2 linked regions of the Cricetulus griseus genome follow. The protein of the gene in region 1 purifies or fractionates together with the protein of each later gene. This does not show direct contact. Links are inferred from orthologs where the notes say so. Each region holds a gene or a part of one and is shown in the gene's direction. Other genes may lie near its edges. The genes, in order: Klf6 and Sp1.

What was found.
Region 2: the proteins of Klf6 (region 1) and Sp1 purify together in Homo sapiens (affinity purification with western blotting, with the first as the bait; 3 studies listed by BioGRID). This does not show direct contact. The link is inferred for Cricetulus griseus from reciprocal best matches to the Homo sapiens genes KLF6 and SP1.

The regions. Positions count from the first base shown.
Region 1 is NC_048596.1:230,512,466-230,528,619, forward strand, and holds Klf6 (Krueppel-like factor 6), read left to right. Parts: upstream 1-7,237; 5' UTR 7,238-7,360; coding exon 7,361-7,564; intron 7,565-10,452; coding exon 10,453-11,026; intron 11,027-12,290; coding exon 12,291-12,414; intron 12,415-12,892; coding exon 12,893-12,944; 3' UTR 12,945-16,011; downstream 16,012-16,154.
Region 2 is NC_048595.1:398,792,601-398,808,232, forward strand, and holds part of Sp1 (transcription factor Sp1), read left to right. Parts: intron 1-7,695; coding exon 7,696-7,864; intron 7,865-12,625; coding exon 12,626-12,825; intron 12,826-13,225; coding exon 13,226-13,539; 3' UTR 13,540-15,632. UniProt on the Homo sapiens protein: Transcription factor that can activate or repress transcription in response to physiological and pathological stimuli.

The DNA.
Region 1 (16,154 bases):
GACCCAGAACATGCTCATTCCTTGGAGAGATTCCCCAAGGCCCCTTCCACATCAGTTGACAGCTTGCCCACCATAAGGATCAGGCCTGGCAGTTCAGTTCATCAAATATGAGTTGTGTCTCTTGTAGACTTGGGCTTTGAGTCTTGTAGGAAGTCATCGTGCAAGCAAAACTTCTACTTCTTTGTTCCTGATGTTCCTGAAACACACTCTCAGAATTGTCTCAGAACATGGCTGCCTGTGTTTTCTGGAATAGTCAGCACATCTTACAGCACCATGTGATCCTGCCATGGACTCACCAGGACTCATTTCTTTTTTTTTCTTTCTTTCTTTCTTTCTTTCTTTCTTTCTTTCTTTCTTTCTTTCTTTTTTCTTTCTTTCTTCCTTTCTTTCCTTCTTTCTTTCTTTTTTCTTCTAAATAAATTGCTATGAACAGTATTAACCTCTTTGGGGACATATTCATTCACTTCTTTTGGTTCAATTCTTGAAAGATGAAAATGCAGAACGAGAAACTAAGTGCACATTCCATTTGATTTAAAGGGGCCATACCTTTTCCATAGTGACTGTGGAGTATTTATTATATTCCCACTAAGAGTACTAGAAAGTGCTGGCCACTCACTGAACTCTTTCACCAACTTTGATGTTAATATTCTTCCTACAACCAATTCAGTTGATTTTGCTGCGTATTTCCCTGGTTAGGGATGTTGTTGACCACTTTTTCTTATATGTTCAGTAAAGTATGATTTCAAATATTTTGATCACTTTTTATATATAATTTATTCTTCACTACTATATGTCATGTGTATATCTTGGACACTTGTTCAATTTTAAATGCACATTTTAAGAATATTTTCCTCTCAATAGTCTATTGTCTGCTTACTGTTGTCTTCAATAAAGTTTCAATTTTTGATGGGATCTAAATCCATTAAAATTATCTTTCTTGGTGATATTGTTTTCTGTTTCCACCCAAGGAGGTGTTGCTTTAGCTTCAAACCATGGTATTATTGTTACAATATTGTGAGATGAGGACCTTGGGGGATTCCATGGCAGGTGAGGAACAAACATGCCAGGCAGACAGAGGTTAAGTAAGAAATTTTATTAGAAAGGGAAAGGAGCTGGGAGGGAAAGAAGATAAATGGGGGAGGGTGGAAGACATAGAAAAAATCCTGTCTGCCCCTTCAGAGGAACAGTGGGAAAGAGAGAGGAAGTGGGTGCAGATTTTCTCTTAAAGGTCCCTTGCACCTGCCTGTAGAGTAGTAGCAGCTGGGCTGCCCAGGGTACTGCCTGAGTGCATTCTGCCATGTGACAGGGCAAAGTCCAGCATAATGCCCAAGCCCTTAGAATTATGTCCATTTGCCATGCCATCCCCTTTGGGAAGATGATGATGTAATCATTTTCATTTATTCAGTATGTATCGTCAATGTGTCTACAGTATGAGGTAAGGTGTATATCTTTTTCCCCATTTCTCTCTCCCCCTTTGCTTACTGTTTTTTTTTTCTTTCTTTTTATAGCCTGCTATGTATTTTAAGGAGTTCAGTCATCATGTCATCATGACTTGAGGACTTTCCTCTCCTGTTGGACTTCTGGATCTCTACTCTTAACAACTGAGAAAAGTCCCAAAACATGTCAGGTAGCCTATAACTTTTCTTTAACTTGCTCAAGCATGCTGGTCAGAAAGTCCTTACATGACTTGAATCTGGAAGAGGCTAAGACACCAAGAGAGGGTGGCTTTGATAAAGAGAGAGGAGATATCTGCTAAAGACAGAAACAATGAAAACTATGAGAACTCCTTACTGGCTGTGTTTGGGCTAGCAGGGACAAATGGGATTCCAGCCTCACATTCTAGCTTTTCTCCACATGCCTCCACCAGGTGTTTACGAGGAGGGGAAGGGTAGGTAAGGTAGACTGAAAGGGCTTCCTCTAGATTTCCAGAATCTTCTCTCAAAAGAAGTGCTTCTTCAGTGCTGGTAGAAGGCAGGATCCCCCTTGAATCCAAGTTCCGTAAACCAGGAAGCAGGTTTCCTGCCTGACCAGGGGAGGAGAAAGTCACTTCCAACCATGCCATCTACAAGAAAACTCAGTGTCTGAGGGGGGAAGAGCTGGGAAATGTCAAGACGCTCCAGCCCCAAGCCCACATGCACAGAGATGACCTAACCGAGATCTATAGGCATACCCTTCTGCCCCTAGGAGGCTGCTCTCTTTTCTGCTTCCCACCCTGTCTCCAGGCACAGTAGGAATGCAGGAATTGAGAAATGGGAGCTAGACATACACTGGAAAAACAGCACAAACAAACCCAGGCACCCAGGACCCTGCAGTAAAAAAAGGCAACCGCAGTCACTTGTGAAGTGAGTTGTTTTAATGTTTCATCTCATTATTGGTTTTACAAAGAAGGCTACTAAAACAAATATTATATTTATATGTATATAAATACTTACACACAGATAATTATATGCAGACACACATGCAGACAGATATACAAACATAATCACATAACACATATACACCTATACACATCTATACATTTGCATATGCACACACACACACACACACACACACACACACACACACACTAGACATAAACACAAACACACTTCCCTGCCAATACTCAAGCCCTTGCAGTCCTTGTCATATGGTAACAAATTAAGTTGAATGTTTACTGGAAGCCACTAGTATGGCACTTTCCTTCATTAGCTATCTCAGTACTGACAGTTATTTTAAAGAGTGAAAGTTTAAATTTCAACAAATAGAATATTTGTGAGACTTTACCTAACACATCACTCAGTAAGTGAAGTTTTGTTTTTCATTTTCAAAGGAAAGTTCATTATTTTTTGAGAGGGAAATGCATGGGGAGAAGGCAACTCATGCTTTTGACTAGAACCATCTGGAAATGAGATAGTAGATGAAGAGGTACATTTTAACTCAACACACCCATCATGCAACAACTCACGTGTACTTTTAAAGATGGGATTTTTACAGAACAACTCAAGGAAACAATCAAATGAAACAAACACAAATCAAGTTGCTGTGGGAGAGGGGGATATCTTGTTAAATATGCTCCAAACAAACAAAACTGGCTTCTGAACCATGCATGAGAATGGTCTTTGCCCATATAATTAGGGGGGTAGTATTGCAATTACCTTTGACTAGTCTTGTAAGACCCCCTTTGAATTTCCTAGGTGAACAAGAAAGTCAAAACCTAGTTACCATCTACGGATCTCTGAACTGAAAGCTCAGTCTATTTATGAACTTCATTTTAAACCATTGGTTTCGCTACAAAACGCAACAAAGGGAACTTCATGGTGAGAAATGAAGGAGCTCTGCATGGAAGCATAAGAGACAGAACAAAAGTGAAAAAGGGCATGGACACAGTGGGCATGTGAGGAAATAGCCCAGAGTGCCAGGGAAGCTGAGCCCTCTGCATTTAGGACTATGCCACCACACAGACTGGCTTGTGGGAGAGAGAACCAGATGAGGGTGGGTGAGAAAGGGATCATCCTCCAGGAGTCCACCACTTATTAGGATTGGGCAGCATAGGGGGGTGGGGGGTGGGTAAGAGATGGGGGGTAGGGGTGAGTAGAGATCTTCAGCTCCTGACAGAATGAGCTCTTACTGGAGTTACTGTATAGCCCCAGGCCCAAATTTGCTTCTTATCTGCTGTGTGATCTGCACAGTGGATATCATTTTAATGCCTCATCAGCCATAAATATCAAGAGCAAAGTTGAAAATGGAGCACGTTCAATGAGTTAATATTGCCTTCAACTTATGGCTTATATAGAATGGGGGTTTTAATACATTATGATTTTTGACATGCCGACTCTCAGTCCCCCACCAACTCCCAGTGTTCATGAGGTGGGTAAACATGCTGGTAGATTGCAAGGGTATCCAGTCACATCCCCAGAACCTTCTTTCAAAAGAAGCAAAGGCTGTTGAAGGTCAAGATTTCACCCCCTTAAACCCAAGTCCTATATCCAGCCATCAGTTTTCTTTCCTGATCAGAAAAGAAGAAACTCACGTTCAATGACCACCATCATTCCTTTAGAACATACAAGAAAGCTCAGTTATTTGGGTGAAGGAACAGGAAGGCTTAGAAGGCCCCAGTCCCAGAGCCCTCATGCTGAGTTGACCTAAAGTCAGATCTGAGGACATACCCTCCTGCCCCTAGTAGCCTCCTCTCTTCCCTGCTTACACCCTGCCTCCAGCCACAGTAGGAATGTAGGAATTTGGAAATATGTGCACAGAAAGATACACTAGAAGAAGCACAAAACCAGATACTGGGGACCCCCTAGTAAACATAGGCAGCCACAGCTTGTATAGTGGTTTGGGGATGGTAGGCATTGTGATTCCCAGAAGCACTCTACCACTGGTGTATCCTCAGCCCCTTTCTTACTGTTTTCAAAAGTTGTTTAAGACTTTTGAAACAGTCTCATCAAGTTTCCCAGACTAACCTTGAACTCACTCTGTAGAGCAGGCAAGCCTTGCTCTTTTGCCTCAGTCTCTCAAACAGCTGAGATTCTATGGATATTTTCATCAGACCAGATGAACTTTTTTTCTCTTCAGATATACTGGCCAAGGCCAAATTTATGGATAGTTTAAAGTCATGCTTTTCTTCCATCCATACTTCCCCATCTGAATGCCTCTGACCTATGTGTTTCTGTTAGGCAGTTTAAAAATCAGACATCATTGGCCCTGGTGTTGGTGGCTCACACCTTTAATCCCAGCACCCTGGAGGCAGAGGCAGGCAGATCTCTGTGAGTTCGAGACCAGCCTGGTCTACAAGAGCTAGATCCAGGACAGCCTCCAAAGCCACAGAGAAACCCTTTCTCGAAACCCCGCCCCCCACAAAAAAAATCAGACATCATTTGTAATACTCGGATCACATGGATAGTCCTTCTTGCATACGAAGCCAAAACTGTTTTCCCATCAATAGTTAAATGCTCAGGAATACAAGCATTCAAACGTCTTTGGAGCCCTGCCCCTTACCCCAACTATGACATGGACTTTTGCCTGCTTTGTAAATCTATGTGTACCTGGCCAGTCACAGGATGTGAATAATATGTGCTGAATGCCTAATGGGAGCAGCAGGAAGTCACACAGTTTATTCTACTTGGAATTCATTCAGGGGATGAATGTACTCTACTTTTACACTAATTTTTTTCTGAAAGTCACAGTTTTGATTGTATCTCTATTAATGTCCAATTAAATCCAGTCTTGTAAAAATAAACTATGCAAATCTTCTATTTAACTGGCAGTGCTTGTAAGAGACAAGGAGAAATTTTGGCATTCTATAGGAATGTAAGGGACTGTGTGAAAATGATGACTAATTCTCTATCCAGCAAGGGAAGTTTCAATATCTTCATTATGACACCCCTAAGGAATTACAGACTCCTCCATGCTTTATTAAGGCCTTCACTTAGTGTCATATACTTTCACCTCATCCTTTACCATGTGTACTGTCATGTTGGCTTTCATTCATAGATTTGATCTGATTCTTGCTTCCTTTGTTAATTCCAAAGGCATAAGCTTGCTACTAATTATAAAGCTCTAGGTCCATATAAGGGCTTCGCTGGGAAGTTAGTTCACCCTATGTATGTGTGTCCTAAAGCCATTTCCATTCCCTTCCTGGAAACAAAATATAAACACATAACTCAGAGAGGGACAGGTTTGCCTCTTTGTCACTAGGGTAAATGGGATGAATGAAGGCCAATGGTCACCTTCATGTATTCCAAACAATACGCATTCTTCTTCTTTTTTTGGAAAGATAGCTTTTCCCAACTTAGCACTCATTAAGTATGCCCACCTAAGAACCTTATAAGCTTACAGTTCTGGTACATGCATCTGTTTAGACTTCTAAAATTAAATACGAAAAATCTTCTAAAATTATTTTACATAGTTTATGTTTAAAAGGATACTATTCATTAAGTATTACTTTTGAAGTTGTCATAATTGGTTTTTGCTGTTGTTGTTGTTTTACTCAAAAATATAGTTGCTCAGTCTTCATTTTTTAAATGAACATCATGGTGTGCTTTAGGAGACAATTTATATGAACAGAAATTAATGTCAGCTTCAGCTTAATTTAAATTGTTTACACATCCTCGGGAAAGCCTGCTAACCTGGTGAGGCATCTTGGAGCCTGCCTTCCGCAAGATAAACAGATTTCTACCCCATATACAGCAGAATCTGTATCATATTAGAATGAGAGCCGTGCATCAAGCGCAAGGGCATTTTTAAGCTGGAGATGCCTAGCAATCCAACTTGGGGTGGTGCCAGGTCATCCGTGTGAGCTTGCTAAAGCCCAATCGGGTTGTTTGGGGTGCTATCTTAAAAGCTGCGCTTACAACTTCCAATAGATAAAATTCATTCCAGAGAATCTGAGTGTAACTAACCCACGGGTCAGGTAAGGCTCTTTCTGGGTGCTCCCAAGTGTGGGTTATTTTGGAGAACGAGCGAGTCTCGGGATCCCTTCAGCCCCCTCCCAGGGATCCAGACAGAAATTACCATACAGGGACTCTAGTGCACCAAGTTCCCCTGCTGTTTGTTCCTACGGTCCCATCACTACACAGGGATCCGCGGGCCTGTTTGCGCCCACTCCGGCCACCTCAGTATCTCTGAGTATGGAGAGGATTCCGGACAAAGAGAGAAATCAGGGGACCAAGCAGAATGGAGGGTGAGGGAAGGATCAGGGGACACCGGCATCGAGCACAGAGGGACGGATGAAGTGAAATAAGGGGACCGGGCAGATATCAGCTCCCTTGTTTTGCTGGGTCCCGGTCCGGGTGACGGGATCAGAAGGTGGAACCGGGCGGCTGGGCGGCGGGGACAGGTGCTGGATTGCCCCGGCCAGGTTCCTCCAGCTCCGGCCGCACATTCTCCGGCCGCACATTTGCGGCGTTCGGCCGTGCACCTCCCAGCGCCGACTCCTTCGGCGCCTCGTAGCCCTCGCCATTTATACCCTGCTAAAAATAGCCTGCGAGTCGTCTTCCCAATCAACTCAGGCCGAGTTCGAATTGCACCAATAGAGAGGCCCGTAATGGAGAGGCTCGGTCACGCCAGGCGGGGCCGCCTTGTGTCCGCACCGGCGATTGGTGCAAGCTGACATCATCGTCGCGCTGCCCCCGGGACAGGCGCGGCCGGATTGGGTATCACTGGGGGCGGAGCTCCAAGCTGGTCACGTGGGGGAGGAGGAGTGGGGGGAGCCAAGCGGGGGAGGAGGGGGGAGGCTGGCAGCGGAGCTTTGAATAGGGAAGTTTTGCAGGGGTTACGCTTGCAGTCAGTCCGCTGTTTGCAAATATTGCGTGGGCTCGGCGCGCTGCGGGCTGCGGGAGGGTCCGGACCCGGCGTCCGATTGCAGCGCCATCCAGTTTGCATGAAACTTTCACCTGCGCTCCCGGGGACAGTTTCTGCTCCGACTCCTGATCGCTCTCCTCCCTGTTTTCCCGACAGCGAGGACTGTCTTTTCCAACCCGACATGGATGTGCTCCCAATGTGTAGCATCTTCCAGGAACTACAGATTGTTCACGAAACGGGCTACTTCTCGGCTCTGCCGTCCCTGGAGGAATATTGGCAACAGGTAAATACGGATTTTTTTTTTCTTCACGTGCCCGGTGCGCCGAGAAGGGAGTCTCGCGGAGGCGCAGGCAAGATGGTGTGTGCTTGGAAGTGCATCTTTTAAATAATGATTAGCGTTTGCCTAATTTAAAAAAATAAAGTAATGATCTTAAGATGCCCTTCTGTTGCCTGAAATGATGAAGGCACAGTAAAGCGAGCCTTCGGCGGCTAGGACTAGAGTTGTCATTTGTGTGGAGGCGAGCTCTTGTTCCCGGAACGTTTTTCTTTATTTCTTTATTTATTTTTCTGTTTTTGCTAATTCCGAGCTTCCAAGCGGCATCCACCTGAGGGGAGGGAACCCAAGATTTCTCTGCCGAATTCAGACCGGAGCCGTTGGCACAAGTTTGGGGCTTGTACCAGCTCCAAACTCCACAGCTGGACTTTGTCATATGAACGAGCTTGCCTTTACTGCCAAAAGATTTGATTTAAAGATTTTGTTTTGTTTTGATGTTTGTACACCCAGTGTTTTAAAGTATAATATTTCGCCTGCGGAACGCAGCAGCTTTTTTTTTTTTTAACTCAAGGCCATTTGCAGTTTCTTTTCCTTCTGGATAAATTCTTACATTCGCCAATGTCTGCCTTGTTTTTCTTACCTGCTTTTCTTGTTGACTGCGCGGCGGGTGTGTGTGGGGGGGGGGGCTGTTTGCACACAAGTGACTTGTCAGTCATATGACAATGAGTCCATTCCTAATTGCTTCGGGTCTTACTTTGGGGAAGAAAAAGATCTCGATTTCCGGCATTTTAATGGAACTAGAATTTGGGGCAACGGAAATAAAAGCCCCCCCCCCCGCCCCCCATTCTAAGTCTTAGGATTCCCTTAATGGCGTGACAGTCTCGAACACTTTTTACCATTGTCTCTAAAACGATGGTTTGGTGGATGTCTCTCTACCCTTCTGGGCTGGCTTTTTTTTTTTTTTTTCCTCCAAGTGAATTAGCAGATGAAATATATTCTGTGGGTTTCACAACCTCCCTGCCTTTAAAACGCATGAAAAGCGAAGTGCTGGCTGAAACCTCCACATGCCGGCTTAATTGTTCACAATCCTCTCCTGCCTTCTTCTCCCCCTCCTGGTTTTTCCTCCTCAAAGAAGCTGCTCCCTGGGACGTGATTGAAATTGATCTTAGTAGTTTCCTTTAGGCATTTGGGATTTGGGCAACAAGCCAGACTTGGCTCCTGGTCCCCTTCAGAGCCTTTTAAACTCCCAGAGAGCTGGGATCAGGTCCCCACTGCTCATCAGCATAATGGAGATTTTAAATTAGCCAGTTGATTAAAGTTTAACAAGATCTTCATAAATGTGCTCGCCTTTTCTTTGGAACATCAATAATATGTATCACCACCTCGATTCAGAATACTGTGTGCACTGTAACAGACATCGAATTTTGGGGGGAAAGAGAAAACAAGAACCCCCCACTCCACCCCCCCCCCCTTTGACTTGTGCCTGCTTGCTGTGTGAAGCATCTACAGGGAGGGATTAGGATCTCTGTATAGTGTGATAGAAGGCATTGTTTAGTAAGCATTAGCCCTTTTGCTGGTAGGCTGTGCTCAAGATGGTCTGTACCCTGATAACAATTTGTTGCAGTTTGGTTTCGAAATTTCTATCTGTAGAATGGAATAGTCAGCGGCACAGACATCCTTATATGGGCATGCAGGCAAGCCTAGTGAAAAATCAGGGCCGACATAATTTAATCCTAAAATGTTTCCTACCATTTTTCTTTTCCAGTGGCTAGAAAGTTTGAAATGGTGGGGAGAGGGGATGCTGATCTCTGCAGTTGTGTAGCTCCTTGAAAGGTTGGTTGCGGGGCTGGGGAAGGGGCACCCTGTCCATGGCACACTGCATGTATATTTGAGCCGGGTCCTTATTTGGCTGCTGGTCAGAATTTCAAAAGGAAGTCTCCTTTGGCATTGCGTGAAAGAAATAGGAGTGATGACTCATACTGTTGTACTCTTGGCCAGGAGATAAAGTCCTTGTTCATTGTGGGACTCCCAGAAGGGCCAGGGAGTAATTTCCCCTTTCCATCCTTTACAATAGCAGATGGCCATTCTGGAAGAATTCCTCCACTTGTGTTGTTGAGGTTTCTTGTTTCCTTCTGACCACAGTGAAGAAATCATTAAAGTTTGGTGGTATCCACAGCCCTGTACTTGGGAAATGACATTTAAAAATATACGTAGATATATATGTATATATATATATATATATCCTAGGTCTTAGTTACACAGGACATGGGAGGGTTCTCTTCCAATCTATTGATGTCCCTGAATACAGACAGATCTGCTGTCTGCTCTCTGACTACAGCCAGCCCTATATTGTCAGCTGTGTCCCTAAGGGGTGGGGGGGTCTTCAGACCATACTGTGTGCTGTGCAATCTTTCTGTCCTGTTGTGTGAATACTTGTGGATGGCTGGGGCTCTCAGTGATGCTCCTGGTTCTAGAGAATGTCAAACGATCTGGTTAAACCTGTTAGGTTGGTGGGAGGGGGTGTGATGTGTGGAAGGCTGATTTTCTTTGTGTGGTTTACCAGGATCCTCATTAGCAATGTCAACACTTGTAACTATAACAACAAAACAGGCCCAGTGATCATCACTCATTGTGGCCATTGGTCCAACACTGAAGAAACCAAGAGAGGCTTTACCTCTGCTTTTCCTTCGTATTCCTAGAAACAGCTTTTCTCTAGCATTCATGAGGAAATAGATTCCCATTACAGAAGACTTTGGCCCATAGTACGTGGCCCAGAAATAATTTATTTGTTCTTTGTTGCATGTTTTCTTTCTTTCTTTTTTTTTTTCTATGTGCTTTCAGTTCCACTTTCAGTAGTCGTAACAATCACGTGCCTTTTTGTGGTTCATTCTGCACAGACCTGCCTGGAGTTGGAACGCTATCTTCAGAGTGAGCCCTGCTACGTGTCAGCCTCTGAGATAAAATTTGACAGCCAGGAAGATCTGTGGACCAAAATCATTCTAGCTCGAGAGAAGAAGGAGGAATCAGAACTGAAGATTTCTTCTAGTCCCCCAGAAGACTCTCTGATCAGCCCCAGCTTTAATTATAACTTAGAGACCAACAGCCTAAACTCTGATGTCAGCAGCGAGTCTTCAGACAGTTCTGAGGAACTTTCACCCACGACCAAATTTACCTCTGATCCCATTGGTGAAGTCTTAGTCAGTTCAGGAAATCTGAGCTCCTCCGTCATTTCCACACCTCCTTCTTCTCCAGAAGTGAACAGGGAATCTTCTCAACTATGGGGCTGTGGGCCAGGAGACCTACCCTCACCAGGGAAGGTTCGAAGTGGAACTTCTGGGAAGTCTGGTGACAAGGGTAGTGGCGATGCCTCCCCAGATGGCAGGAGGAGGGTACATCGATGCCACTTCAACGGCTGCAGGAAAGTTTACACTAAAAGCTCCCACTTGAAAGCACATCAACGTACTCACACAGGTCAGTCCCCTCATGGGGCCTGGGAGGTCAGCCCCTGGTGGGCGCCAGTGAATTGCACCAGCCCTGGGAGGGAGCCAGGGCTCCTCAGGATGTGGTCACAAGCAAGGAAATCCTCACTTCCTTAATTCCTGTCACCAAGGAATTGGGTCTTTTTGGAGTTCAGAGTAGAATCTTAAAAGACTGGACATTTGAATCAGATGAATGGGTCATGCTTTCAGATTAAACAAGAGGCCAGATCACATTCTCCATCGACACTCAAACCTTCACCCACTCGGTGCTCATTTCCCCATTGTACATGCATCGTGCTATGTTGGGTTGCTCCTCATTCTATGTCATGTAAGTCCAGGGTCAGGACAGAGGGTCCTTGGGCAGCATGGAGTTTGCTAGTGTTGACCAGGGGACATTTATTGTGAATACTGTGTCACACAACCACTTTAAACAAGGGCTTTCTTAACTCAATGCCACCACTTAGAATGAAGTTCTTGTTTGTTTGAAACTACCAGTACAACATACAGGATATGAGTGGAAGGATCGCAGGAAAGCTCCATGTCATAAATTGTTACCTTATGGAGATGATAATCAAATTCTGGAGAGATGAAGTCAGGGTCCTGAAAAGGCACAGAACTTGGGAGAGGATGTGAGTGTTCCCAGGACAAGACAGTTTTGACTCAGGTTGGCTTTAGCATTATTTTTACTCATAGGTAGCATTTTATTTAATTCATAGTTATAATTTAGCTAGGGGGTGATGTCCATTTGGTTGTTTGATTGCCATTTAGAAACTGATCTGAAAGTCTCTGGATGAGGTTTCTCAGAAACTCATGACTTGAGTTTTTGCAGCAATGTAGAAGGTCCCGGATGGACGACTCATTCCCCAGGGAAATGAGTAAGGAACCAGATTGTGCTGGAGGGGGATGTCTCCATGGAGAAAGCAATAAATCTCAACTCTCAGCACGGCTGTGGGTCCTGCGGGCCGACACCTCACCCTGCAAATATGTCAGCTATCTGAGTAATTGTCATTGTTATGAGTTAACTCTGATTTTGTCAAACCTGGATCCTTGGGACAACAGCTTGAGTGAAGCTTCAGGCTAGGTTAGGAAAGAACCTATGCTTGTGACCTTTAGCGTGCCAAAGGTACTGTCTCTGTTAAAACATATGGTGAAGTCTGTAGGCTTCAGGGGTCTCACAGTATATATTGTTGAGTCTTCTCCTTCCTCCCTATCATGTCAGTGGAATCATGGTGCCTTGTCATGTGCTCTCTTCCCAGGAGAAAAGCCTTACAGATGCTCATGGGAAGGTTGTGAGTGGCGTTTTGCAAGAAGTGATGAATTAACCAGACACTTCCGGAAGCATACCGGTGCCAAGCCTTTTAAATGCTCTCACTGTGACAGGTATGTCAGGGCTTCGCAGGAAAAAAAAAAAAAGTGGGATCATGGGAGACTACCAGAGCCGAGTAGTTGTGTGCAATAGAGCCTGGAAAGAACGCCAACAGTTTCTTGTTATTTGTTGGCGTTTCTTTTAAGTCTGGGGCTTTTTCAAAAATCAATGACACATTGACTGTCTCTTAGGAAACTGTGTGCCAGGTTTCTACAAGAAAAATGTCTGGGGGACGATTTTCAAAATGGGCTCCAAGTTTTCAAATTCAAAAGCTGAGGGATGAGTCCAGTTTAGACTCTGCCATGGGACTTCTGGGACTTCCTAGCTATTTCTCCAAGACCTCTTGGAATTTGTATTTCTCTCCCTTGGGGTTCCCTGTGCCTAAAAGTATTGGCAAGGACTCAGAGGAATTGTACACAGGTGTGGTATCTGGTCTATCAAGAAATCCAGGCGGCAAAACCTAACTTCCTTGTTTCTGCCTTGCCCTTGCAGGTGTTTCTCCAGGTCTGACCACCTGGCCCTGCACATGAAGAGGCACCTTTGAAGGAGCAGAGGGCTGAATCCTGTAGGCTAAAAGAGGCTTCCAGGCTGAGAGGCGGCCATGGAAGGAGGGATGCCTGTACCAGCCAAAGCATGCCATTTTGCTTCCTACCCAGTTACCTCCAGGGGCCTCTCTTTGGAAGGTCTTTTGAGGGCTACAAAAGTCATGTCAGAAGCGGCATAGCACCCACGGTGCATGGTGTTTGGGTGACCCTGGACTCGCCTCGCCACTGGTTCCTAACCTTCTGAGAGGCTCCCAGAGCCTTTTGCCGTGAGCATGCGCACTGAGAATGTTAATGGGTGGGATGACTGTATGTTGAGGATCTATTACCGACTGTATGGTGAGGCAGACTTTTTTTTTTCCCCCTTGTGGTAGCAAATAACTGCAAGAGACAGAAAAAAAAAGCAGTTTGAATGTTTTGTGTGTGAGGAGTATTCCAAGGGATGAGTTGACAACCAATCATTTCCTGAAGGGTGTCTGCACCTTAGAAAAAATAAAAAATAAAAACAAACAAAAAAAAAAAATTTAAAAAAAAAAAAAAAAAAAAAAAGAAGGAAATACTTGGAGGGTGGGAGTGGGAACTCAGGACCCCATAGTGGTGAGTGTTAAGGGCAAGGGGAGTACCTGTCCCCCTTTCCTGTGTGAAAGGGCCTTCTGGTGTCTGGTGCAGCTATAGAATGTGCAGTGTGTCAAGTAGCTTGTTTTACTGGCTACACAGAGCTCATTTGTAACCCATTGTATAAGCTGTATTTACAAATAACAGTGGTCATTTTCCCTTATAATACAAAAAAGTCGTGCATGGTCTGGGGGAGCTATAAACTTTTCCATTTTTCAATCGGGTCTCCAATCTTGATTCCAATTAATAAGCAGCTATAGGATTCAGTTTGTTTAAAACAATGATTCCTTAAGCCATTTAGGCCTGGCAAGACACGACCCCCAGATCCGTCTGTTTTGTGACACTCCCCGTGCAACATGCTATTGTGCAGTGTAGGGTGTATTTTTAATGACTCAGAATTTGAACTTACTTTTTGGAGAATCTTAAGGTGCCCTTTGAAGAAATTGGACGCGTGTCAAATGTCTAAATGCTTGGGCCTGGAAATTACTGGTCTAATGCCACATTAGGCTAAGAACATAAACTGTTTTTTCTCAGTCGGGTGGATCAAACCACTAAGCTTAGAAACCGTTTTCTCATGCAGCTATGTCTCTCTTATTTATGCCTTGAGGACTAATTCTGGTTTTCTAGCTGTTAATGCACTGTTGACCTTCATAATGGTGCCTTATGCAACTGGCCCTTCTGTGGGGTCAAATACAGGGGTATGGGTGATGCATGCTTAATTAAGGCTCTTTTTTCACCTGGCATTGTACTGTATGATGTATAATATGGAAAAAAGAAAAAAAAAAAACAAAAAAACAACAGAAAAAACCACCTCTTTAAGATCCTCCACAATGACAAATAGGTGAAAACTCCTTTGACATGTCAACATGTGTTCATTTCCAACAACTTGACTGTCAGTGTTAAAATGGGAAAAAAAATAGACATGATAATTGAAAACTAATTCTGCTACCATGAGACTCTTTTAGAGACCTTGCACAATTGTACAGATCACACACACCGGCTGTATTTATTATGTAACATTTTCACACATATTAAAAATACAGAAGTATAAAAAAAATGTCAATATTTTGCTCAAAAGGCACAAGTTTTGAGTACCTGTCTAGCTATCTGTTGGTAATACTGAAAGTATACTGCTTTTTTTTTTTTGAAAAAAAGTGGATGAAATTTCTTGTGTATGTATATTTGTGTGTATAGTATGTGTATGTATGTGTGTATATATATATTATATATAGATAATATATAAATATTTTTTTAAGAAGAAACTAGAATGTTTAGCTAGAAAATTCTACAGCCTGTGAAGAAGTATTTCAAAATGGCCATAAAGGAGGTTAAAAAAATTTGAAAACTATAACCTAACTTTTATAAAGGCTTTATCTTTTATTTAATGATTTGCTGAAGACATTTTCGGTGTTGATTCTATTCCACCCTGTTGATTTTGCTAGTCATTATTGGCAAGCCTGGAATAGGGTACCTTTGGCCATTCACAAGGGGCAGGAACAAAGTGCTGCTCAACCAGCTGGACTCACACACACACAAAGGTTTGCATTTTACTTTCAGCCTTACTGGAATATCTCACCTAAGAGTAAGCTGATCACAGGGATTGTTTTTTAGAATACTTTTTATGCAGATGAAACTATTTTTTTCCAGCATGTAGATTCTCCCAGCTTTTTCAAGGAGTACTTTCCCGGAATTGGCATACCGCAGCATAGACAGCTGATGTTTCTGATATTTCATCCAGCTGCTGACTTTTTGGGTGTGGATCTCATATATATATATATATATATATATATAATATATATATATGAGAATGAGTCTGGCTGGGCTGGTATTTTGTTTGATCTTCCTGGAAATGAGCAATGATTAAAGCTCACGTAATTGTTTTTTGTTTTTTGTTTTTTTGTTTTTGTATCTGGGCTGATGAATACATTTCTCTACAGAACTGGTTTCATTTTGCTTAAGGGGAAAATGCACTTTTGTTTGGCAGTTCAGAATCCAAGCACTTGATATGCTGGATTTTGGAAAACTCCTTTTTTGGCCCTGCTGTGCTTATCCATAACAATTCCATTAAGTAAGAAGGTAAACAGAAGAGAAAGAAAACTTGTGCTGGCTCGTCTCACTTATGAAACATCATGGATGTTGTCTGACTGGGTGGGGCTGGGTGCGTATATGTCAATGCCTGTAATTTTCATAATGAGCAAGTACATTCTGTTCAGGTGATAACTGAGCCTCAATCAAGCAGAACTTTTGCTTGAAATTAAAAAAAAATTTCTATTAGTGAAATTTCTTTATTTCTTTTTTTTTTTTGAAGCACCCTGTTATCTAAAGAATCTTTGTAAGATTTTTGTAAAATTTTGTTTTACAAGATTTTATTTGAAATTGTTTTTTGCGAGATTGTTATATTTCTGTATGAATGTATTTTTTATTCGAATAACATAAAAAGAATTCTTATCAGCATTTGGAGTCTGGTTGTTTTTCTGGGGTGCTGTGGGGGAAGGGGGTTGTTAACAAATTCCTGCTGTGTTACTCAGCCTGGCTTCCTCCCCAGGAAATCACCATTGTGCAATTCGAAGGGCCATTTGCCTAGCTCAGTCCCTGCC
Region 2 (15,632 bases), on another chromosome or scaffold:
CAGGACAGCCAGGGCAACACAGAAAACCTGTCATGAGAGATACTGAAGACTATAGTGTTCCTCATGCTCATTCATTTTGTCTGTTTACATTTAACATAAAAGATAACTTTTAAAATGCTTGCTTAAGGTTTCTTGTTGATGTTTATTCTTTCCGTGCTGAATACCCAAGCAAAGGCATAAATCTAGAACCAAGATAAACTCATACTTTTGTGTCCCATGTTTTTCATTCTTTGCTCCTGGTGGGTGGTAGTAGTGAGGGAAGGGACCACCCTGTTAACTGAGGTTAGTTTCCAAAATGAAATGATACATAGATTCCTAGAGTTATTTTTTGTTAGTTTGGCTTGTTCTGTTTTTAAATAAACCACAGACTTTTTTTCTTTTTTAACCAACACCTTTGTCTTTTTATCAGTAGCCTTTTCTCTCATTTTATATTCTTAATTTGCAAATCTCTCCCCTCTCAGCCTCTGTCAAACACTGAAAACTTGCTTTGGATGTGCATAGGGGCAGCTTTAAAAAATTGAGTTTGGTTGAATGTTTAGGAGTTCTAACAGAGAGAGAACATAGGGCTGGGCTTTGGCATGAGAATAAACAGATTTATCTTGATGTCTATAATTCACTCATGAAGAAAATTTCAGGCACTAAAAATAAAAATTCTACATCTTCTAAGTTTTATTAGGGTCAGGAAAATGTTTTGTCCTAATAGTTAAGTTGAATGTGATACTGGGATTGGTTTTCCAGCAGTCTGACTAAAGTTGGGGTCAGATTGCCGACCTAATTTGTTTAAAAAATTTGTGTTTTCGACTAGTGACTGTGAACATTAGAAATCATTGTAAAAATGTTTTCTTTTTTCAGAGATGGAGTCTTAATTTGTAGTTTAGATTGGCTTGAGACATACTATGTAGTACAGGCTGGCTTCAAACTTGTGGCAGTCCTCCTGCTTCAGCCAATGAATGTTGTTGGGATTACAGATAGGAGCATGCACAATCAGCCAGAATTAGCGTTTTGTACCAAAAAATCATATGAGAAGCATTTCTATATGTATTATCAGCCAGGTAGTGGTGGTGCACACCTTTAATCCCAGCACTCGGGAGGCAGAGGCGGGTGGATCTCTGTGGGTTCGAGACCAGCCTGGTCTACAAGAGCTAGTTCCAGCACAGCCCCCAAAGCCACAGAGAAACTGTCTCAGGAACAAAAAAAAAAGTCTGTTCTTTCTGTTCTCTCCTCTCTTCTATTTCCAGGGTGTTATGTAACACAGGTTGCCCTCTAGCTGTGTAGTGGAGGCTAAACTTCAACTCCTGATCCTACAGCCTCTACTTCTCAAGTTGCCATGATTAGGGGTTTAACCTCAACACCCAATGAAAACTGTTTCTGTGTAAATGTTTTTTAAAAATGATTTATTTATTTTTATCTTATATGCACGAGTGTTTTATATGTCTGAGGGTGTCTGATCCCCTGGAATGGAGTTATAGATAGTTGTGAACAGCTGTGTGGATGCTGGGAATTGAACCCAGATCCTCTGAGTTGCCAGTGCCCTTAGCCATGGAGCTGTTAGCTGTCTCTCAGAACCCCTTGTAGAAAGCTTTTTTTTTTTTTTCTTAAAGATTTTATTTATTTATTTTGTGTACAACATTCTGCTTCCATGTCTATCTGCACACCAGAAGAGGGCACCAGATCTCATTACAGATGGTTGTGCGCCACCATGTGGTTGCTGGAAATTACACTCAGGACCTCTGGAAGAGTAACCAGTGCTTTTAACCTCTGAGCCATCTCTCCAGCCCCCTTACATGTGCTTCCATGTTTTTTAGGCTGTGAGTTGTTTATAGAAACTGGGCAGTATTACCTGTTATACAAGTTCGGATTTGCCTAATTTTTGTTTGCCTGCCTTAGCTGAATTAGTTTGAAGTTTTTTTTTTTTTTTTTTCAACAGGAAATACCTAGGTTATAACAAGGATTTGCTTTTTTTTTTTAAGATTTTATTTATTTATTTATTTATTTGGTTTTACGAGGCAGGGTTTCTCTGTGTAGCTTTGGAGGCTGTCCTGGAACTAGCTCTTGTAGACTAGGCTGGCCTCAAACTCACAGAGATCCACCTGCCTCTGTCTCCCGAGTGCTGGGATTAAATGCATGTGCCACCACCGCCCAGCATAAGATTTATTTTTATTATTTTATGTTTATGAGTGTTTTGCCTGCATGTATGCTTGTGTGTCACATATGTGCTGGGTGCAGGAGGTTGTGAACCTCCATTTGGATTCTGGTCTTTTGAAGCAAGTGCCCTTAACTGCTGACCCAACTCTCCTGCCCCCAAAGATTTGTTTTTTAGGAGATGAGGGAACTTTTCACTAAGCAGTGGTGGCATACATCTTTAATCCCAACACTCAGGAGGCAGAGGCAGAGGCAGGTGGATCTCTGTGAGTTTGAGGCCAGCCTGGTCTCCAGAGCAAGTTCCAGACAGCCAAAAACAAAACAAAACAAAAACAAAAACACCACGAGAGAGAGAGAGAGAGAGAGAGAGAGAGAGAGAGAGAGTGTGTGTGTGTGTGTGTGTGTTTTGAGGGTGGGGGAGGGAATTTAAGTTCCGACCTTTCTTCCTTTAGCCTTCTCCTTTCCCTACATTTTATTTATTTATTTTCAAGGCAGGTTTCCCAGACATACTTGGGACTTGTGTTTGTCTTGTCAGCTAGTCTGTTAACCTGAAAACTTCCTCTGTCTTCTTGTTTCTGTCCAACTAAGACCTAGGGTTACAAGCGTGCACAGGACAGTGATTGTTATGTGGGTTCTGGTACCTGAATCTAGTCCACATGATTGAGCTGGGAGCATTCTTTAACTGTAGAGCTTTACTTGAGCACACCCACATTCTCTGTTGGTGTGTAGAAATATGCAGAAACCAGAGGTTAACATTACGTAACTTCCTCAGCTACTTTAAAATATGTCTTATTCAGTAAGATTTATTGTTTTATGTGTATGTCTTACCTGTGTGTATGTGTGTACACCACATTTGTGCCTGAATGCCTGAAGAGGTCAGAAGAGGATATCAATGAAAGCAGAGTATTACAAGCGCCAATGAGATATTGTTCAGGGATACTGTGCTCATGTTCTCTAAGAATGTACCTAGAGAAGAAATTATAGAGGGTATGGAATGGATAAATGACAGTTTTTTTTGTTCAGTTTGGAAGTTTAGTTCATAAGTGTTTTAAGTTTTTGTTTTTTTGTTTTATTTATTGTTTTGTTTTTTTGGTTTTTCAAGACAGGGTTTCTCTCTGTAGCTTTGGAGCCTATCCTGGTACTCGCTTTGGAGACCAGGCTGGCCTCGAACTCACAGAAATCCACCTGCCTCTGCCTCCTGAGTGCTGGGATTAAAGGCGTGCGCCACCAATGCCTGGCTTGTGAACTATTTCTACTTGTATTTATGTGCTGCTATTGTGCTAGAGAATGAATTGATGCTGAAAGTACACAATAGCCAGGAATGGTGGCTTCTGCCTATGAATCCTAGCAGTTGGGAAATTGAGACAGGTTTTTCAAACGCTTTGTTTTATTTTACTCTCTGAGTAGCTGAGGCTGTCATTGAATTCAGTATGTGACAGTGACCTCAGACTGACCATATTCTTGTCACTTCACTTTCTGAGTGCTGGAATTACGGGTATTCGGCATCATGACCTTCCTTTCTAACCTGTACTCTTTGATTCATGATGATGACAAAACTCAAGCTTTAGCTGGGAACATTATCAAAACTTACAGTTAGGGAACATTACCAAAACCGAAATTAATATTTAGATTTAATGGAGAGACTTCCAAAATATCTATGTTCCTAAAATTTGTTCAGACCCCCTCTTTTCTCCTTTTTGTCTTTAACTATGTAGGAGGGTGGTATAACGTTTAGTCACAGTGACATCTAGTGGTGAAAGCCATTAACATTTTTTACTTAACCATATGGAAAACTACCCATTTTTAAATCTACCAAAAAAAAAATTTAAAGAAAAAAAGAAATGGTAGCCTGGTGGTGGTGGTGGCGCATGCCTTTAATCCCAGCACTCGGGAGGCAGAGGCAGGCGGATCTCTGTGAGTTCGAGACCAGCCTGGTCTACAAGCGCTAGTTCCAGGACAGCCTCCAAAGCCACAGGGAAACCCTGTCTTGAAAAACCAAAAAAAAAAAAAAAAGGAATGGTAATATACCAAAGAGAGAATTATACAGTCTAAACTTTTGGTTCCATAGATATTTTCACTGATAAAAAAAAATTACGGAAAATATAAAAGGGAGGGGAAAAATAATGCTTCCCATCACAATTTGTAGCATGAATTCTCTTTGCCCTTAATAATAAAAACTTGGAGTCAAGCTATCAGGGAGTGAAAGCTGAAGGATCAGAGAAGCAGAGCAACTAGCCACTAGAGTTCTTATCTCAGTGCTCAGATCAAGGGGAGATCCTGTCCTCTCTCTGCCTAGCCATATCCCTTCCTATCTTTGCCTCCTTAGTGCTGGGATTAAAGGCATGTAACTCCCAAGTACTGGGAATAAAGGTGTAAGCCACCACTACTTGGCTGTTTCTCTTTTGGACTGGATCAATTTCGTATAGCCCAGGGTGGCCTTGAACTCACAGATCCACCTGCCTCGTCTCTTCCCCAGTGCTGGGATTAAAGGTGTGGACACCACTTCCTGGCCTCTGTGGCTAACTCGTATGACTAGCTCTTCACTCTGATCTTCAGGAAAGTTTTGTTAGATCATTTAAAAAAGTATATCACCCCAACAGTCACCAATTAAACTATTGTTTGTGTGTGAATGCATGACAGGATAACCCTTTATAGCCCAGACTGGCTTTGGTTTTACTATCCTCCTGCATATCTGCCTGCTAGTGCTGAAATTACAGCCATATTCCATTCTTCTCAGCATGAATATTCAAAGACTTTTTTGTTTTTTTTTTTTTTGTTGTTTTGTTTTTTGTTTTGTTTTTTTTTGTTTTTTTTTTTGGTGTGTGGGGGTGGTGGTTTGAGGCAGGGTTTCTCTGAGGCTTAGGAGGAACTAGCTCTTGTAGACCAGGCTGGTCTCAAACTCACAGAGATATGTCTACCTAGTACTGGAGTAAAGATGTGTCTGTGTTTTGGGGGGCGGGGGTGCCGTTCAAAAATTTTCTTGTGTAATTGAATAATTGGATTTTTTTTTCTTTTTTTTTTTTTTTTTTTTTTTTTTTTTTTTGAGACAGGACTTCTCTGTGTAGTCCTGGCTGTCTTGGAGCTCACTTTGTAGACTAGGCTGGTCTACAAACAACTCGGAGACCTCTGCCTCTGCCTCTGCCTCTGAAATGCTGAGATTAAAGGCATGGGCCACCACACATGGCCAGAGAACTAGTTGGTATTTATTTATTTAGGTTTTTTGAGGCAGGATTTCTCTGTGTAGCTTTGGAGCCTGTCCTGGAACTCCCTCTGTAGACCAGGCTGGCCTGAATTCACAGTGATCAGATTCTCCTCTCTCTGCATCCTAAGTGCTGGGATTAAAGGGGTGTGCCACCACCACCCAGTCCCAGAGAACCAGTTTTAAGTATTTATGTAAAATACATTTAAGTTTGTATATCATAACCAGTCATTGGTGTGCACAGACCAGCCTGGTCTACAAGAGCTAGTTCCAGGACAGCCTCCAAAGCCACAGAGAGGGCTGGAGAGATGGCTCAGAGATTAAGAGCACTGACTGCTCTACCAGAGGTCCTGAGTTCAATCCCAGAAACAATATGGTGGCTCACAACCATCTGTTATGAGATCTGGTGCCCTCTTCTGGTGTGCAGGTATACAAGGAAGCAGAATGTTGTATATGTAATAAATAAATAAATAAAATTTAAAAAATAAATGATTCAGGAAACATTAAAAAAAAAAAGCCACAGAGAAACCCTGTCTCAAAAAAAGGTTTGTGTATCAAGTGTATGCCTGCTGCCCATAGAGATCAAATCCCCTGGAACTGGAGTTACAGGCAATTGTGAGCAGTCAACATCTTTCCAGCTCCCATGCCTAGGTTTTTTTCTCCCTATGATGCCCAGTGTTTTTTTCTTTGTTTTTCTCAGAGATCTATGCTTGCTCTGTCATATATTCTCAGCCCTCCTCACATTTTTGGGGGGGAAAGGAAGGGAGAGGAGGTTTTCATTAAGTTGCCCATGTTATCTTCTGATCTCTCTGGCACCCCAAATACATGCAGTACACTCATACACATAAATGAATTAAAAATACTCTCATCAGATTGCTTGTAGACAAGTATGTAGGCCATTTTCTTGACAGGAGGACCCAGCACACTGGGGGATGGGTCTCTCCTGGATAGGTGGTCCTAGATAGTCTACCAGAATAAGCAAGCCTTGGAGATTAAGCCAATCCTGTCTCTCGGTTCTTGTATCAAGTTCCTGGCCTGATTTCCCTCATTATGGAGTATGATCTAAGAGTTGTAAGATAAGATAAACCCAGTTCCAGGACACCCTACAAAGCTATAGAGAAACCTTGTCTCGAAAATCTCAAAGAAAGGGCTGGAGAGATGGCTCAGAGGTTGAGAGCGCCAACTGCTCTTCCAGAGGTCCTGAGTTCAATTCCCAGCAACCACATGGTAGTTCTCAACCATTGGTTATGAGATCTGGTGTCCTCTTCTGGTGTGCAGATACACATGGAAGCAGAATGTTGTATACATAATAAATAAAATCTTTAAAAAAACAAAAGAATAAAAGAAACCCCCCCCCCAAAAAAATGAAATAAATCCTTTGCTTCCCAAGTTGTTTTTTTTGTCATGGTACTTATCACAGCAAGATGACAGATAAGAAACCAGAATCCCAAGTAGAATTTTTGGAAATATATGGAAACTAGCCTTCAGACTGGTAGAATGCTTGCCTACTATGTGGAGGCCCTTGGCTCAGTTCCTAGAATGGTGATTTGTTTTACAGTTACTGACATTTTAATTTCATCATGCTTTAGTAATTCCCAAGGTTTTAACTTTTAGGTCATGGCTTTACCTACACTTCTTTACTTTGAAGAAAATAAAAAGATATAACATTTATAGTTGTTTCAGAAATGGATGCTAGAGGTAACAGCTCAGTTTGCCCAAGACTGTCATTAAACTGCCTCTGGTTTCCTAGTTATTTTCATCACAGGAAGGCCAATCTTTAATTTATCTCATTGCTTAACTAGTACCATATTTTAAGATTAAACTGTTCTTTTCTAAAACTGTTATTAAAAGGGATGGGGAACAAATTCCAATATGTTGATGTCATGTTGACTTTTTTATTTGACATGGGTCTTACTCTTTAGCCAAGGTTAGTCTGGACCTACTATGTAAACTTAAACCTGTAATCACTTGGGAGTCCCTCAGGTACTTACTTGGGAGGTTGATTCAGAAGCCTAGGAGTTCAAGGACAACCTGGGCAAAGCAAGACCTTATGTCAGATTATAAAAAGAGATCTTGATGCAGTGGTGCCATATTGGCTAGTGAGATGGCTCAGCAGATAAAGGCATTCGCATCAAGGCTGATTGATAGCCTGAGATTGATTATTAGAACCCATGTGGTGGAAGAGAACTGATTTCTAAATGATGACCTCTGGCTTGGACAAGCATACTACACACACCACTCATGGAAGAAAGAACTGTAATTAAAAGTTGGTACTGTGAATGTAATATCAGTGATGTTTCTATAGCTGTTCTATCCTGTCCACTGCCACCTTTCTCCTTTTCTTTTTATTTCAGGTGATCATGGAGCTCAACTTGGCCTCCATGGATCTGGTGGTGATGGGATGCATGATGAGACAGCAGGTGGAGAAGAAGGAGAGAACAGCCCTGATCCCCAACCCCAAGCTGGTAGGAGGACTCGGCGGGAAGCATGTACATGCCCCTATTGTAAAGACAGTGAAGGAAGGTGAGTTCATTCTCTTGAATATGGAGTTTGTTTTGTTTTTGAATGTAAATAAATTAAAAATGGACTTAGAAATAAGAGGGAAAGGGCATATATATATATATATAATATTATAATATATACATATATACATATATACATATATACATACATACATACATACATATATATATATTCAAGACACAGGGAACTGGGCCTGGTGGCGCATGCTTTTAGTTCTAGCAGCACTTGGGAGGCAGAGGCAGGCCTGGTCTACAAAGTGAGTTCTGGGACAGCCAGAGCTTTACACAGACAAACCCTGTCTTTAAGAAAAAAAGCAGGTGTGTGTGTGTGTGGTTGTGGGTGTGGGTGGGTGTGGGTGGGTGTGGCGGGTAGTAGCTCCGCCGTTAAAGAGTAGGCTCACAACCAAAAAAAAAAGGAACGAAGAAACCCAAAACAACCCCCCCAACAAAAAAAACAAACAAACATTGGAGGGCTGGGTGTGTAGCTCAGTTGGTAAAGGGCTTACCTAGCATTTATGGAGTCCTGAGTTTGAATCACAGCACTTAATAAAGCAGTGTGGTCACACATGCCTGTAATTGCATGTTGTCTGGAGATGCAACACATACATGTATCTACTTAACCCCAGAGTGTATTGTATAGAGAGTGTATAAAGTGAGGGTTTTGACACCAGGTGCATTAAGTGCAGACATGACCTCTCCAAGGTATGGTTGAGGGGAAGGTTTTTATTGTAGACATGAGGAGAGTACAGTCAAAGTCCAGAGCGGAGAGAGAAAGTAGTAGACTAAACATGGCCAATAGATTGGACCCAGCCATGAGAGAGAAGCGGGGAAGAGAGTGGGAAAGGAAGATAAAATGTGAGAGGCAAGAGAGTGCATATTGGAAATGACAGGGTTATATGGGAGCGAGAAGCTTGGGAGGAAAGTGATCTGGAGAAGTATAGGGGTAGTGGTGGGGTAAGAAGAGCCAGGATGGACTCTGTAACAGGTATTTGCTATGCTGAGAGAACCTGGAGGCTAGCATGTGCTTTGATGTGCTAATGGGCATCACAGTTAGCCATTTGGACCTAAAAAGGATCCCATGACAGACCAAAGTATGGTAGCATCAAAGCCCAACTTGGTGAACCAGTGAGTTTTATTGGGATTAGTTAAAGGAATATGGGGTGAGGGGCTACTTACAGAAAAGGAGTAGAAGGCTGAGCATTGGTGGTGCATACCTTTAATCCTAGTACTCGGGAGGCAGAGGCAGGTGGATCTCTGTGAGTTTAAGACCAGCCTGGTCTATAAGAGCTAGTTCCAGGACAGCCTCCAAAGCAGTACAGAGAAACCCTGTCTCAAACCTCCCACCCCCACAAAAAAAAGAAAGAAAGAAAAGAAAAGGAGCAGAAGTGACTCAAAGACGTCTGAATCACCAAAGCCTACTCCAGCATAGATGAGTTTACAAAAGCTGAAGAACTGGAGCATGCAGGCAGCCAGTATCCCTTCTGTCCAGATCAGTTGGTCTAAGCCCCTTCAAGGCAGCTCTCTGGGCTCTTGAGAGTCTTCTCCTTGCAACTTGGCTTGTCTGAGAGTAACTCATGGCTGGCTGGCTTTATCTTTTACTCTTGGAAGGGACCTAGTGAATCTGATCAGTTTCAGGGGCTTCCTGAAACTGTTTTGAGTTGTTCATCCTCTGTTTTATGGGAGATAGTGTGTTTTAACCCCAGAGTATATTGCTACACAACATCCTTGCACTTGGGAGGTGAAATCAGAAATATATTTTATATTTGGTTCTCTGGCTAGGTGTAGTGGTGCATGCCTTTAATTTTAGCACTCAAAGGCAGAGAGGCTGGCGAATCTCTTGAATTTGAGCCCAGCCTGGCCTCCAGAGGTTTTTGAGACAAGGTCTCACCATTCAGCCTCATAGAGATCTCTTACTTCTGCCTCACAAGTGTTGGGATTAAAGACATGCTGCCACACTCAACAGTCCTTATTTTATTTTTGGGGGTGGGGTGGGGTACAATGTTTGACTCTTGTGGAACTCACTGTTCAGACCAAGCTGGCCTCACATTCACAGAGATACTCCTGCCTCTGCCTCACCAGTGTTTGGACTAAATATGTGAGGCACCACATCCAGCTCCTTATTTTATTGTACATGGAATCAGGTTCTTGCTACAATATCCTTGCTTGGCCTTGAATTTTTGGTTCTTGTGCCTCATTCTCCCAAGTAGCTGAGATTACAAGGATGAACCTCTATTCCTTCTTTCACCCTTAAGATTTAGGCCTGGAGTAATGGCTCAGGTTTGTTTTGTTTGTTTGGTTTTTCGAGACAAGATTTGTCTATGTAGTTTTGGCTATCCTGGAACTTGCTCTTGCACATGAAAATAAATAAAAAGAGAACAAGGGCTAGTAAAATGCAGCTTTGTGGTACAGCACTTGCATTTCAAAAAAGTATGCAAGAAAGTCAATGAAGCCAGGTTTGTTAGTGATTCACATCTGCTACTTTAGCACTTGGAAGGTATGGACAGTAAATTGCAAGTTTGAGAATAAGTCTAGTCCAAAAGCCACTTCAAGACCAACATGAACTGAATAAAATAGGCTGTCTCAAAAAAAAAAAAAAAAAAAATCTCATGGAACAAGGCATAATGGTACGTAGCTGTAATCCTCATCACCCAAGAGGCAGAGGCAGAGGCAGAGGCAGAAGGATAACCCTAAGTTTGAGGCCAACCTGGTCTACAAGTTCCAGGGCAACGGTTATACAATGAGGCATTGTCTCAATAATAGGTAAGTAAATAAATAAACTCACAAGCTGGAGATGAACTCAGTGGTAGAACACTTGCCCAGCATTCAGAGTCAATAAGAAATCAAAACTAAAAACAAGAGCTGCATAATATGACCTACTCAAATGTACTATATTAGCCTTTTGCAGCATCTGACCCCACCTCCCAAGTGCTGGGTTGCAATGGCTGAGTATTTAAGGGCAGTTGTTGTTCTTGCAGAGAACTAAAGTGGCAACTCACAACCATCTGTAACTCCAGTTCCACAGGATCTGGCACCCTCTTCTGGCCTCTTTGGCCACAAATATTCATGCAGGCAAAACATCAAATAAATAAATCTTAGAAAAAGATTTCAGGCTGGTCAGGAATAGTGGCACATGTCTTTAATTCAAGAGTTGGGTGGATCTTCATGAGTTCCAATCCTGCCTTGTCTACATAGTGAGTTCTAGTTTAGCTAGAGTTTATACAGTGGAACCCTAGCTCAAAAACAAAACAAATACATGTATATATAGATTTAGGACTATAATTGATCTCTCTTTGGCCTAGAGAAGTCAGATGGAGCTAGATAGCTTAATGATTAATACCAAGTATCTGTTGTTTCAGTAAGATTTCTTATAGCTGGGAGGTCGCAGTGCACACCTTTAATTCCAGTGGTGGGGATAGGGGTGGGGGACAACACTGAGGCAAGTGGGTCTCTGTGAGTTGAGTCCAGCCTAGTTTACAGATAGAGTTGCAGGACAGCCAAGGCAATACAAAAAACCCGTCTTGAAAAGAAAAAAGAAAAAGATTGTTTGCAAAACAGCAATAAATAGAAACCTGCTTCTTGTAATGAGTCCCCCCCCACCCCACCCCCGTAGCTTTAGGAAAATTACATGTTTTAACAGTTCTGTTATCACTCAAAAAGACAAATATATTTATTCCAGGTGCTTTTTTTTTCCTTGAGTCACGCTTTCTCTGTGTAGCCCTGACTATCTTGTGGACCAGGCTGGTCTTGAACTCAAGAGATCTGCCTGCCTCTGCCTCCCAAGTCCTGGGATTAAAGGTGCTCCATCACTGCCCATCTCTTAATCAAGATGTATATTTTTCCACCAAGATTTTTCTTTCACTGAATTTTCTAGAGATTTGCTCATTTTGTGTATATGAATGTTTCTTGAATATATGTATGTATGCCACGTGCATGCAGATACAACCTGTGGAGCCCAGGAGAGGGCATCTGATTCCCTGAAAAGATTCATTTGCTTAGTTGGGAAGCTGTGTATCATGGTATACATATAAAAAGTTGGAGGATCACTTGAGGGAAGTGTTCTGGGGATTGAATTTAATGTCATACTTGGTGGCAAGAACCTTTACCTGCTAAGCTGTCTTGTTTCCTCCTGAATATTTTTTTCTTACTAGCCTGTAACAGTTCTCTTAAGTCTTACTCTTTTCTTTGTAGTCACTGTATTTTCTATGTAGCCGTGGCTGTCCTGGAACTCACTTTGTAGACCAGGCTGGCCTCGAACTCACAGAGATCCACCTGCCAGTGCCTTCCAGGTGTTGGTATTAAAGGTTGATGCCACCACTGTCCAGCTTAAAAAAGTACTGTTTTGGTTTTTTCGAGACAGGGTTTCTTTGTGGCTTTGGAGGCTGTCCTGGAACTGGCTTTTGTAGACCAGACTGGTCTCGAACTCACAGAGATCCACCTGCTTCTGCCTCCCAAGTGCTGGGATTAAATGCATGTGCCACCACTGCCAGGCTAAAAAATACTTTTAAAAAATGTAAATCTTAGTGACAAGTATGGTGGCACACACTTTTAATCCCATCGCTAAGCAAGCAGAGGCAGGTGGATTTCTGAGTTCAAGGCCAGCCTGGTCAATTTATGGAGTTCCAGTACAGCCAGAGCTATATATAGAGAGATCTGTATCCAAAACAAAAGAATGGGTTAGGTAATTGCTGCTGACACTTCTTGATTCCTTAATTTCTGTCTCCATAAATTAATTATTAATTATTAATTATGTTCTCATTCTTAGAGGCTCTGGAGACCCTGGTAAAAAGAAACAGCACATTTGTCACATTCAAGGATGTGGCAAAGTATATGGCAAGACCTCACATCTCCGGGCACACTTGCGCTGGCATACAGGGGAGAGGCCATTCATGTGTAACTGGTCATACTGCGGGAAGCGCTTCACACGTTCAGATGAGCTTCAGAGACATAAACGCACACATACAGGTATGACCTAAGGGAAGAGAAAAAGAGTAGTAGACAAAGAGAAGACATGATATGCCTATGAAATAACTGAAAATCCTGAACAATTTATACGTGAAACAGTGTGTCTCAAAGAGCACTTGGATTAATCTGGAAGGTTTTAAGAAGGAGCTCCATTTTAAATGGGACTTTTTAAAAAGGTTTTTTCATTTATTATATATACAGTGAGGGCACCAAATCTCATTCAGATGGTTGTGATTGCTGGGATTGAACTCAAGACCTCTGGAAGAGCAGTCTATGCTCTTAACCTCTGAGCCATCTTTCTAGCCCCCCCCCCTTAAGTGGGATTTGAAGGATAAATATCAACCCAATCTTTATTTTGACTACTTTTGAACTAAGTTATCTTTTGCTTTTTTTTATTTAGGTGAGAAGAAATTTGCGTGCCCTGAGTGCCCCAAGCGTTTCATGAGGAGTGATCACCTGTCAAAGCATATCAAGACCCATCAGAACAAAAAGGGAGGCCCAGGTGTCGCCCTGAGTGTGGGCACTTTGCCCCTGGACAGTGGGGCAGGTTCAGAAGGCAGTGGCACTGCCACTCCTTCAGCCCTTATTGCCACCAATATGGTAGCCATGGAAGCCATCTGTCCAGAGGGTATTGCCCGTCTTGCCAACAGTGGCATCAACGTCATGCAGGTGACAGAGCTACAGTCCATTAATATCAGTGGCAATGGTTTCTGAGATTAGATACCTAGAGCCAGAGACATATGGGCCAATACCCACCAAGCCTGGGATGCAAGATAGCATGGGTCCAAGAGACATGTGGAAGAGAGAGCCATGAGGCATTAATGTGCTTGGTGGTGGGAAGAATTGGGGGAGGGTACAAGAGAAGAGATGGGATTGTGGCACCAATCTGTCACTGGTGACTTCTTGAAAATGGAAAATATTAGTGAAATTTCTGTTGGTGCCACCCTTTGATAAGCATTTATTTCATCCCAGGTTCTTCTTACACTTCTTACCCCAGCCTCCCCTTCCTGCGTTTCCCCTCTGAGCTCTCCCATGATGGATCCCCACTCCCCACCCCCAAAGCCATCATGCCTTGATAAATATATATGATCATTGAAATACTTTTTAACAAAAACAGATTCTATATTATATATATATATATAAAAAATATATAGAGATGCTTTCACAGGGGTTGGCTGGGAGGAGGAAAAAAGACCATTTTGTGACCAAAAAATACCTTGGTCATTTTTTTTTTTTTTTTAATATTGCCTTATTTCTCAATGGCTGAGCCTTATCATGACACATCAAGCTTTTCTATAAATGTTGTCCTGGCATCCCACCAGAGTAAGCAAATGCTGTGCTTTTAGTTCATATATACATACATAATGTGTCTTCTTCCTTAATTTTTGTCATTTTATTTGGGATCAGCTCCTTGCGCTCCTTTCCTGACTCAGTCTTTTTTTTTTCTCCCCTTCTCTCACATGATCACTTCCTGTGTTGTTTTTGACAATGATCTCTGAATTAGGCCCTTCACTCATTATTTTAAAGAGCTTAGTTCCAACTGCAGAATGGACAGCCTTGAAGTGCAGCCTGATGCTTGAAGTAGCTATGGGGAGTGTTATTACTACTGACGCAGGCACCTTCTCAGTGCTGGAGAGTCAAAACCATTTCCCTTTGTTAGCTGCTCTAAACATCCGGAGTCAGAAGTCTCTATGTGGAATTGTTTAAAAGGCCCTTGGAGAGAGATAATCTGGGATCAGTGTGTATAAACTGTCAAAAAATGGTCAAATAGTAGGCAGCAGCTTTTAGTAGGAAAAAGATGTTCTCAGAAAAGAAAATAACTCAGTCTCAGTTATTGGAATTATTTGGATTTCAGTATCATTGTCTTCCAAATAGCCCTAAGCCTTAATGTAGGGGCTTCTGAGTTCACACACTGAAAGGAAGTACACTTCCTCTTTTGAACATTTCTGTAGTTCTTGTTAATGTTTGAATGTTAAGGAACATTAGCCAGCGAATCTGTTCTGACTTTTCATGCTGTAGAATGCAAAACTTGTGCCAGTGACAAAAGAATAGTTCTTTAAAAATTTTCCCCCTTAACTCTTCCTTATATGTACGTGGGTGTTTGTAAGGGAAAGGGAAGCACACAATCATGGGAACGATGGCCCAGAACAAAAAGAAATCTTGTCTTACCACTGTGGATTATAGGAGAGATCGGGAGAAATTATCCTGCTTTTTCCATGGCCTGATTCCAGAAGTGACTGATCCAAAAATTATATCGGCAGGGAAACTCAGTGCATTTGACACCGAGACTTAAATGCAACCAGAATTGTCCTCAAGGCCCAGCCATTAAAGCATTGTCTCTCTTGACCTTCTGGTATCTTGTCAGAGAGCCTTTCACTGTGAGGAAGTGTGGAAGTGGTTGTGTGTATGTGTGTAATCTATTAGGTTGGGGATAGGTTTTCTGTTAGCCAATATTTAAAGAGACCTGCAATAAAAAATTACCCTGATCTGATAGAGAAAGTAAATTGTGTATGACTGTGTGTATGAATGGGTGTTTGTGCCTGTATATATCTACGTGCAGATGAGAACTTATATTTGAAATTGTTGGAAAGTAAATTCAGATTAAAATGCCTTTCAGGCCTGTTACCTAGGAATTGGTTATAAAACTTGGGTATGTTCTTGAGGTCAGTTCTCTGCTTATGCTAAATCAGTTACAATTATGAATGGGGTGGGGGATCTCCTAGTGCACTTTCTAAAGAAGAAACTATTTTTGTGTTTGAAAATGAAATCAACATCCAAATCTATAGCAGAGTCCTTGTTTTAAACTC